Tribolium castaneum: one gene and its partner. Each later gene encodes a partner of the first gene's protein in a complex. Links are inferred from orthologs where the notes say so. Each region holds a gene or a part of one and is shown on either strand. Other genes may lie near its edges.

The links. Proteins that work in one complex are often made in the same cells at the same time.
Region 2: the proteins of Rph (region 1) and synaptosomal-associated protein 25 are in contact, whole or in part, in a crystal structure (PDB 5LOW), measured with the Rattus norvegicus proteins. The link is inferred for Tribolium castaneum from reciprocal best matches to the Homo sapiens genes RPH3A and SNAP25. Residues at the interface, in NP_598202.2 of Rattus norvegicus: His617, Ser618, Ala621, Ile648, Ser649, Ala650, Lys651, Gly652, Leu655, Tyr659, Leu662, Lys663, Lys665; in NP_112253.1 of Rattus norvegicus: Glu38, Asp41, Ile44, Arg45, Leu47, Val48, Met49, Asp51, Glu52, Glu55.

The regions. Positions count from the first base shown.
Region 1 is NC_087401.1:13,292,573-13,296,776, forward strand, and holds the start of Rph (rabphilin-3A), read right to left. Parts: upstream 2,847-4,204; 5' UTR 2,739-2,846; coding exon 2,662-2,738; intron 1-2,661. UniProt on the Homo sapiens protein: Plays an essential role in docking and fusion steps of regulated exocytosis.
Region 2 is NC_087396.1:11,301,276-11,305,341, reverse strand, and holds the start of synaptosomal-associated protein 25, read right to left. Parts: upstream 2,857-4,066; 5' UTR 2,699-2,856; intron 2,402-2,698; 5' UTR 2,399-2,401; coding exon of another isoform or gene 2,371-2,398; coding exon 2,309-2,370; intron 2,255-2,308; coding exon 2,213-2,254; intron 65-2,212; coding exon of another isoform or gene 16-64; intron 1-15. Other genes in the region: PheRS-m (probable phenylalanine--tRNA ligase, mitochondrial), read right to left, coding at 3,065-4,066.

The DNA.
Region 1 (4,204 bases):
TTTATCTTTTAGAGTGGAAAAATGTTGAACGTTTTTGCTGTTTCTTGAGTTAATTTTTGTAAAACTTAACAAAAAAAACAATTTTTCTAAAGATTGCACCAAAATAACTTATTTTCAGCTTAGATTTTAGTGTTTTTTTTCTGATAATTTTCAATAATTAACAACGTCATTTTCGATCTTTTTGACATTATTTTTTGGGTAGTTTTTCACGAAATTTTGCAAAACAATGGTAAAAATTAGTAAATTGGTGATATTTGGGTTTGTTTTTAGCAAAATCTTGCAAAATAATAATCACAATAAATTCTCTCTTAGTGGACATCTCCGAATAACGGACACCTCTTCACAACGGACATTTTTGTAGAAAAGTAACAAAACCTCTCTAAAACGGACAATTAAAAATTCCCTACCTGTGTCCGTTGTTGAGAGGTTTTACTATATGCATATTTTAACGAAAACCACTCCAAAATTATTATTTTAGAGCGAATTTCGCTAGGAATTTCGTGATTTTGTATCTATTTTAAATCTTAAACTTAGCTAAGTTAATAAAAATTAATTAAAAAAATTAATGATTTTGTTTCACTCACAGTGAGATGAAACTGACAAATATTTGTCCGTTTGTGGGCGGAATTTTAATTAGATAAAAGGAATAAAATTTGGTTTAGTGATTATTGGAGTTATTTTTGCTAAAACACGCGAAATAATAGTGTTTTTGTCTGAAAAAAATACCAAAAAAAAGTAATTTTTGCGGTTATTTTTGACAAAATCTCCGACAAAAATGAATTTTTAGCTAAAAAACTAACGAAAATACATGAAAAAGAACAGATAAGTGTCATTTTTAACCAAGTTTTGTAATTTTTGAGCTGATTTTAGACGAATTTTGTAAAATATTTACGTTTCAGAGTGGAAAAATGTTGGACATTTTTGGTGTTTTTGAGTTAATTTTTCTAAAACTTTACAAAAAAAAATTTTTTTTAAAGATATCACTAAAATAAGTTGTTATTTTCTGGTTAGATTTTAGTGTTTTTCCTGATAATTTTCAATAATGAACAATGCCTTTTTGGCATTATTTTTTGGGTAGTTTTTTACGAAGTTTTGCAAAACAATGATAAAAATTAGTAAATTGGTAATATTTGGGTTTGTTTTTAGCAAAATCTTGCAAAATAACAATCACAATAAATTCTCTCTTAGTGGACATCTCCGAATAACGGACACCTCTTCACAACGGACATTTTTGTAGGAAAGTAACAAAACCTATATTAAAATTTCTCACCTCCAATTAAAGGACACCTCTCTAAAACGGACAATTAAAAATTCCCTACCTGTGTCCGTTGTTGAGAAGTTTTACTATATGCATATTTTAACGAAAACCCCTCCAAAATTATTATTTTAGAGCGAATTTCGCTAGGAATTTCGTGATTTTGTATCTTTTTTAAATCTTAAACTTAGCTAAGTTAATAAAAATTAATTATAAAAATAATGATTTTGTTTCACTCACAGTGAGATGAAACTGACAAATATTTGTCAGTTTGTGGGCGGAATTTTAATTAGATAAAAGGAATAAAATTTGGTTTAGTGATTATTGGAGTTATTTTTGCTAAAATACGCGAAATAATAGTGTTTTTGTCTGAAAAAAATTTCTAAAAAAAGTAATTTTTGCGATTATTTTTGACAGAATCTCCGACAAAAGTGAATTTTTAGCTAAAAACCGAACGAAAATACATGAAAAAGAAAAGATAAGTGTCATTTTTAACCAAGTTTCGTAATTTTTGAGCTGATTTTAGACGAATTTTTTAAAATATTTATCTTTTAGAGTGGAAAAATGTTGAACGTTTTTGCTGTTTTTTGAGTTAATTTTTGTAAAACTTAACAAAAGAAACAATTTTTCTAAAGATTGCACCAAAATAACTTATTTTCAGCTTAGATTTTAGTGTTTTTTTTCTGATAATTTTCAATAATTAACAACGTCATTTTCGATCTTTTTGACATTATTTTTTGGGTAGTTTTTCACGAAATTTTGCAAAACAATGGTAAAAATTAGTAAATTGGTGATATTTGGGTTTGTTTTTAGCAAAATCTTGCAAAATAATAATCACAATAAATTCTCTCTTAGTGGACATCTCCGAATAACGGACACCTCTTCACAACGGACATTTTTGTAGAAAAGTAACAAAACCTCTCTAAAACGGACAATTAAAAATTCCCTACCTGTGTCCGTTGTTGAGAGGTTTTACTATATGCACATTTTAACGAAAACCCCTCCAAAATTATTATTTTAGAGCGAATTTCGCTAGGAATTTCGTGATTTTGTATCTTTTTTAAATCTTAAACTTAAGCTAAGTTAATAAAAATTAATTATAAAAATAATGATTTTGTTTCACTCACAGTGAGATGAAACTGACAAATATTTGTCAGTTTGTGGGCGAAATTTTAATTAGCTAAAAGGAATAAAACCGTGTTTTAATTATTTGCTCCGAAAAGTTGGCTTTTTAAAAAATATTTTGCCCAATTTTCGCAGTCATCAAAGAGCCCCGAGCTCTATTATCCTAGCTAGAAAAGTGGAAGCATTAAATCAATAAAACATCCGTCATCCTTTAACAATCCCCAATTACCATCACAACAAACACGAAAAAACAAACAATTCCCTCCGTTTAGTTTACTCACTTGGCTCGAAGCGCCAATTGCCGATCATTGGGACAAACAAATCTGTTGGTAGCATCGTTGGCTCCACAATCGACCATTGTTTACCATGGACAAAAAGGGTGAAATAAATCACGTTGGTCGTTGCTTGAGAGTGGCCGTCGACGTCCGTCGCGACGCCTGCCAACGCGACAACTGTTGATATCACAGCCTGTTGCTCGCGTCGCGACGGCCGGCGCGCGTGACGTCACATCCGATCGATAAATTATTTCGAATAGACACGCGTTCCGGACGTTTGTTTTCGTGATTTGTGGCGTCGCGACGCCGGGTCTTAATTATGAGCACCGAAAAATTGCAAAAATTTCAAACTTGATGACAAAAAATATAAAAAGGAAGGGACGGGAAATTGTTTTAGTTATTACGTTATTAACTTGATTGGGTTTAGGGTCGAAAGGTTGTTTAATGAAATACTCAGATTACATTCTGGTCATTATTGTTGTGGTTCAGATTAATTTTGGTTTAATTGAGGTTTGAAGAAATTCGATCATTTTCAAAAGATTGTTGCAAGAGATGTTCTTTATTAATTTAATCTACAATTAAATGCGTGATTAACTGATCACGTGACCAAATTGAACTAATTTGATTGGTTTAATCGCGTTGTTAAGTTTTAACAACTAATTAAAATTTAAAGAAACTTTCTATAAACCTGCCTTAACTTTATTAAATTAAGTAACAGTAATAATGTTTTTTTAAGATTTTAAACATCATTGAACTAAAAAACTTTTAGCAATTTTAATATAAATTTTGACTAAATAAATCGAAAAACAAACTTCAATTTGAAAAAAAAATCATCCTAAACGTTAGATCGTAAAAAACAGGTTAAACTGCTCTACGACGAGTGGTTTTTTTTTTCAAAATTTATTAAAAAAGTTGCATTAGTAGTAAATACAAATGTTAATTCTTACGTCACAACAAATTAAATAAAAAAATCAGACATGTTGGATTTAATCAAATAATTAATTAGAATATGTAAATAATAAAATAAAACAAAAAAACAGTGTTGAGTTTGAAAAAAAAATCAAAAATAATCCATAAATTTTTAAAAACATGTTAAATTGCTTCCAAAAATATTAATTAAAAAAGTATGATTTTTTCCTGTTAAGTTGTTATTTCTTTCACTTCAATTTATATAAAAAATCAGGTAAATCCTATATAATTTTAGATTAAATTTTAAAAAAGAAAGCAAAAGACTGTCTTGAATTAAAAGAAATAAACAAATTTTTGCATTTTTAAAGGTGAATTTTATCGTAAAAACAAGTTAAAATGCTCTAGGACGAGTAGTTTTCAACTAACTTTAATTTTGTTTGACGATTTTAGATTAAATTTTGTCAAAATAGAGCAACTGACAATTTTTTTTGAATTCTCGGGAGATCTGAAAAATTCTAAAAAAGAGTGAACAATAAATTGTAAAAACCTGATAAAATGTTCAACATTATAGTGAAAAACAGTTTAATATGCTCTATAACGTGCACTTAACTTTGTGCCATATTTTTTACGTTATTGCATT
Region 2 (4,066 bases), on another chromosome or scaffold:
TGGAGAGAGACTCACCTCCCTGGTCATCAAGAGCGACCAAGGTTCGGATTCCAGCCTCCTTGCTCTACAGCAGCACAAAACAAGTGTACACTGTTTGTTAGTATAGATGTTAAGTGGTACACGCCCGCTACAGATAAGCACTCAGTATATTATTTGTTCAGTTCGAAGAGATAGAGAAGAGATTTATAGAGAGGAAGTTAGAGAGCGAGTGGAATGGGTAGCCCGGCAAGCTGGAGGAGGATGTACGATAAGCTATGATAGAGGCGCGCGAGTCGCGACACATGAGGGTTTCAACAGGATCACCTTACTGTATAACCATAAAATAAAAAAATTAAATGAACACGCAAAACTTCTACAATTCATTTCTGTTGTACTGTCCAACAAAATTACACTTTTTCCGCTTCTTTAGGTTTTTTTAGGGTGCGAATGTAGGCGAATTTTTTTTTTATTTTTAATTTTAGAACAGGAAAGTGACCAACGAATTTAAGATCAATAGGCACCACATACTTTTCAGTTTTCTTCTAAAGAGAAACTGATTGTAGACATTTGACAATAGCCAAAAAGCCGAGTTTCTCAAAAACCAGTTCAAATCTTCAGTCATTTTCATTTCCACAAAAACGATAAAAAAATTATACAGAATGCGATAAGATGATACTAAAATAAGAAATAACAGAACTGGCATAGAAAAAAACGAAACTTGTTTATTTTCTCACATCTGAAGAACGTTTTTAAATAGTAATTTCAATTTTGCATTTTCAAAATTACATTTTTTTTTTTAAAGAACAAACAAATTATGATTTTTTTCAAGTAAACTAAGCTAGAAAATTAATGTATTACTACACCCTAATAAAGTTCATAGAAATTACCAACAACAGCATAAAGTATTTTCGATTTCAGGTCTGTTTAAACCGTAAAATTGTAACAATCAGCGCATACGAGCGATTTCTCCTAATTAATATTTGATTTTTTTTTTAATAATTTGGCGGAAGTAATTCTTAACGTATTAAAAATGCAAAATCTGAAATGGCTATTTTAAAGCATTCCAGAGAACTGAGAGCTGGATTAGTTCTTTCTAACCGGATTTTAACTACAGTTAAAATATTAAAGTTTTTACGTTATAAACGTTTACACAAGATTAACAATTCAATAGATGTTTTTTGCAATGATTTTTTTTCTCACTGAAACAAAAATAAACACTTAAAAACGGGTTTAATTAAACAAAATCTTAATGTAACTGCACGTGAATATAACAAAATGTTCCCATCACGGCTTCTCATGATTATGTTTGTTCTTCAATATCCATAATGAAACGGTTAAAGACTTCAGAATATTAGATATAAGCATAAAAAGTAATCTCCAAATCTTTACACGAAATATTAATAAAAACAGCCATATCCATAAAAAATAATTAAACATGAACGGATCTAACAAGTTTACTGACAGACAAAACAAAACACCAATAAGTAGTTACGAAAAGATGACTATCGGTTAGCAAGGTTGAATATTATGAATTATTACGAGAAAAACGCTATGAACACTAATTTGCATTACGATATAAATTTCGAAAAAACTACAAAGCCAGCAATAAAACAGAAACGAAGTGTAGAAGCCCTTTTCAGTTTAGTTGTTTTAATAGATCTCTGTATGATCATTTTTCTGGAGCCGGTGTTTGAGGTGGCGGTGGTCGGGAATCAAATATTCAACTGTAGTCTGCGAGTGTGTGTGTGCAAAAGTGCGTGTGGGTATTTCTCATATCTGTACACGTAATAACACAGCACAAACACAGGCACACTTGCAGGGCTACCGCTACCACAACATCGAGTCCATGTAAGCACACCGCAACCGTCCCCGAAACCCCGCCGCATTCTTCAGCAGAGCTCGCCCCACGGTAGTCCTGCTCTGCACCGGTTGAGTCGAATCAGAGGACAGAAAAGACAGTGCAAGACATGCAGCACAGAGATACACCAAAACAATTACCAAACAATTTACTCTTATCTCACTGATCAAACTATGCCATCATTGTATGGTAATTGCAACACTTAGAGCAAAGAAGGGATGAGTTTTACGAAAGTCAACTAAAAATAAACAAGATCCTGACACCCCAACTCGGTTCATTTATCACGAAATTACATTAGGGATAAGTCACCTAGAGAGAATTATTAAGATTATCGGTATGGATCTGGGTGGGTACAGCAAGGGGGCGGATATTTACCTCTTCACACAGTGCCAACATGCGCCGGGTGCTCTCCAGAGACTGCAAATGATTGAATATGTTAATCAGGTGGTGCATAATTACGCCAGGTGTTACCTCATCGGTGACTTGCCCAGCCCGGAGCTGGAGCTCCTGCAGCTCGGTTCGGGGGGCCCCATTTTCGGCGACTGGTGCAGGTGCCGGCATTTTCTACGATCAAGAATGACAGAACTGACAAAAACCAGACGACGCACAATCTTTTTTGCTTGGGACTGTACTCTACATTGTTTGACCCGAGAAAATCAATAATCGCGTTAAGGGAACCAAGACGGGCGCGTTCTCGAATTTTCAAAAATAGCCAAATTTGCGATATTTGCATCTCATGACATCATCTTTTTTGCAAAAATGAATCACCAAAGCATCCTATGACACCCGCTTCGAACAAGACACGGCGCCCGGACGGAAATGCCTGATGGTGCGTTACATGAGAGAAACGTTGCTACTTACGCTAGGCTGGGAGTAACACGCACTAGGGGGTTCCTAAACGATTCTTGGGCTAATTCAGCAGTAATAAACAACACTGGGAATTTTATTTCACATAACACCTTGACAGGACAACTGTCAAAGGGTTATCGCATTTGAATGACAACAGCCAACTGAGTGGAGCAGGAAGGGAGATGCGGAGGAACTTAGCGCTTCTGCACATGATCCAATACCACTATGGAGGGAAATACAAATTTCATAGTATTTCTCCCTCGTTTTTGGGTAAAATAAAAACCAACACTTGCCTAAAATGTAATCTTTATTTCGCAATATTTTACAATTATTTGAGCAACAATATGCTGCTTAATTAAATAGGGATTAACTGTGACATTATCTAATCTGGACTCCCAATGTGGAGGCTGCAACTTTGGCGATTTCGCTGTGAATTACATTGACATCGGCCTGGACCAGAGTTTTTTCCATATGCCGGTAGATAATGCGGTAACAGTGACTCGTTTTCCCAAGTTTTGGATGCGTGAATTCGTCCACTAAAACTACTTGTTCAATTGTATCACCTCCAATGTTTCTGGCCAAGTCGTAGAAATCATTACTCGAAAATTCCCTATCTTGTGGTAGCCAAAAACTGAGATCGTTGATACATTGTGGATATTGACTGATTTGTCTATAAGTAACGTCTTCGTCATATTTTACTTTAAACTGGTTTAAAAACCCAGTGTCTTTGGACCAGAAGAGCCGAATATCGGGTATTTTATACAAACACATTGCGACCCTTTCAAGCCCGATCCCGAACGCCCAGCCAATCCTGTCCACAATGCCAGAGTTGGTTAAAATGGGCTGTCTCATTATCCCACATCCCAGCAGTTCTAACCAGTTGTTCTCGTGAAACACCTCCAGCTCCCATGACGGTTGAGTGAACGGAAAATATGTATCAATCCACCTGTACTCAATTGTCTCCCCAAACAGCTCCTTGGCAAGGCCTGCCAGAGTCGTTTTCAGTTCGTGTTCCATCAACTTGACCGCTTCCAGAGTGTGACACGCCTGTTTCTGCTGGGTTCCGGTGCTCTGGGTGTTGTTGCCCACCTCAAAAATCTCCAAGCTTTGCTCTTTGGGGAACAACTCGTCTCGTGTCTTCAGACGAACTGCGTCCACCTGGTGGAAGACCGGGTAGTGCGTTCTGTCGATTTCGTCCCGTCTGTAGACGTCTCCAATCATTAGAAAGTTGTTCAAACCGGCCCTCATCAGCTCCGACTGGTGGGCCGTCATATGCGCCCGCAATAAATAGTCCCGGTTTAGGTAATAACAGTCGCTTTTCAAGCGGGACGGGTGGTCTTTGGGGGTCAGTAAGCTATCAAAGTTTTGGTCTACGGTTAC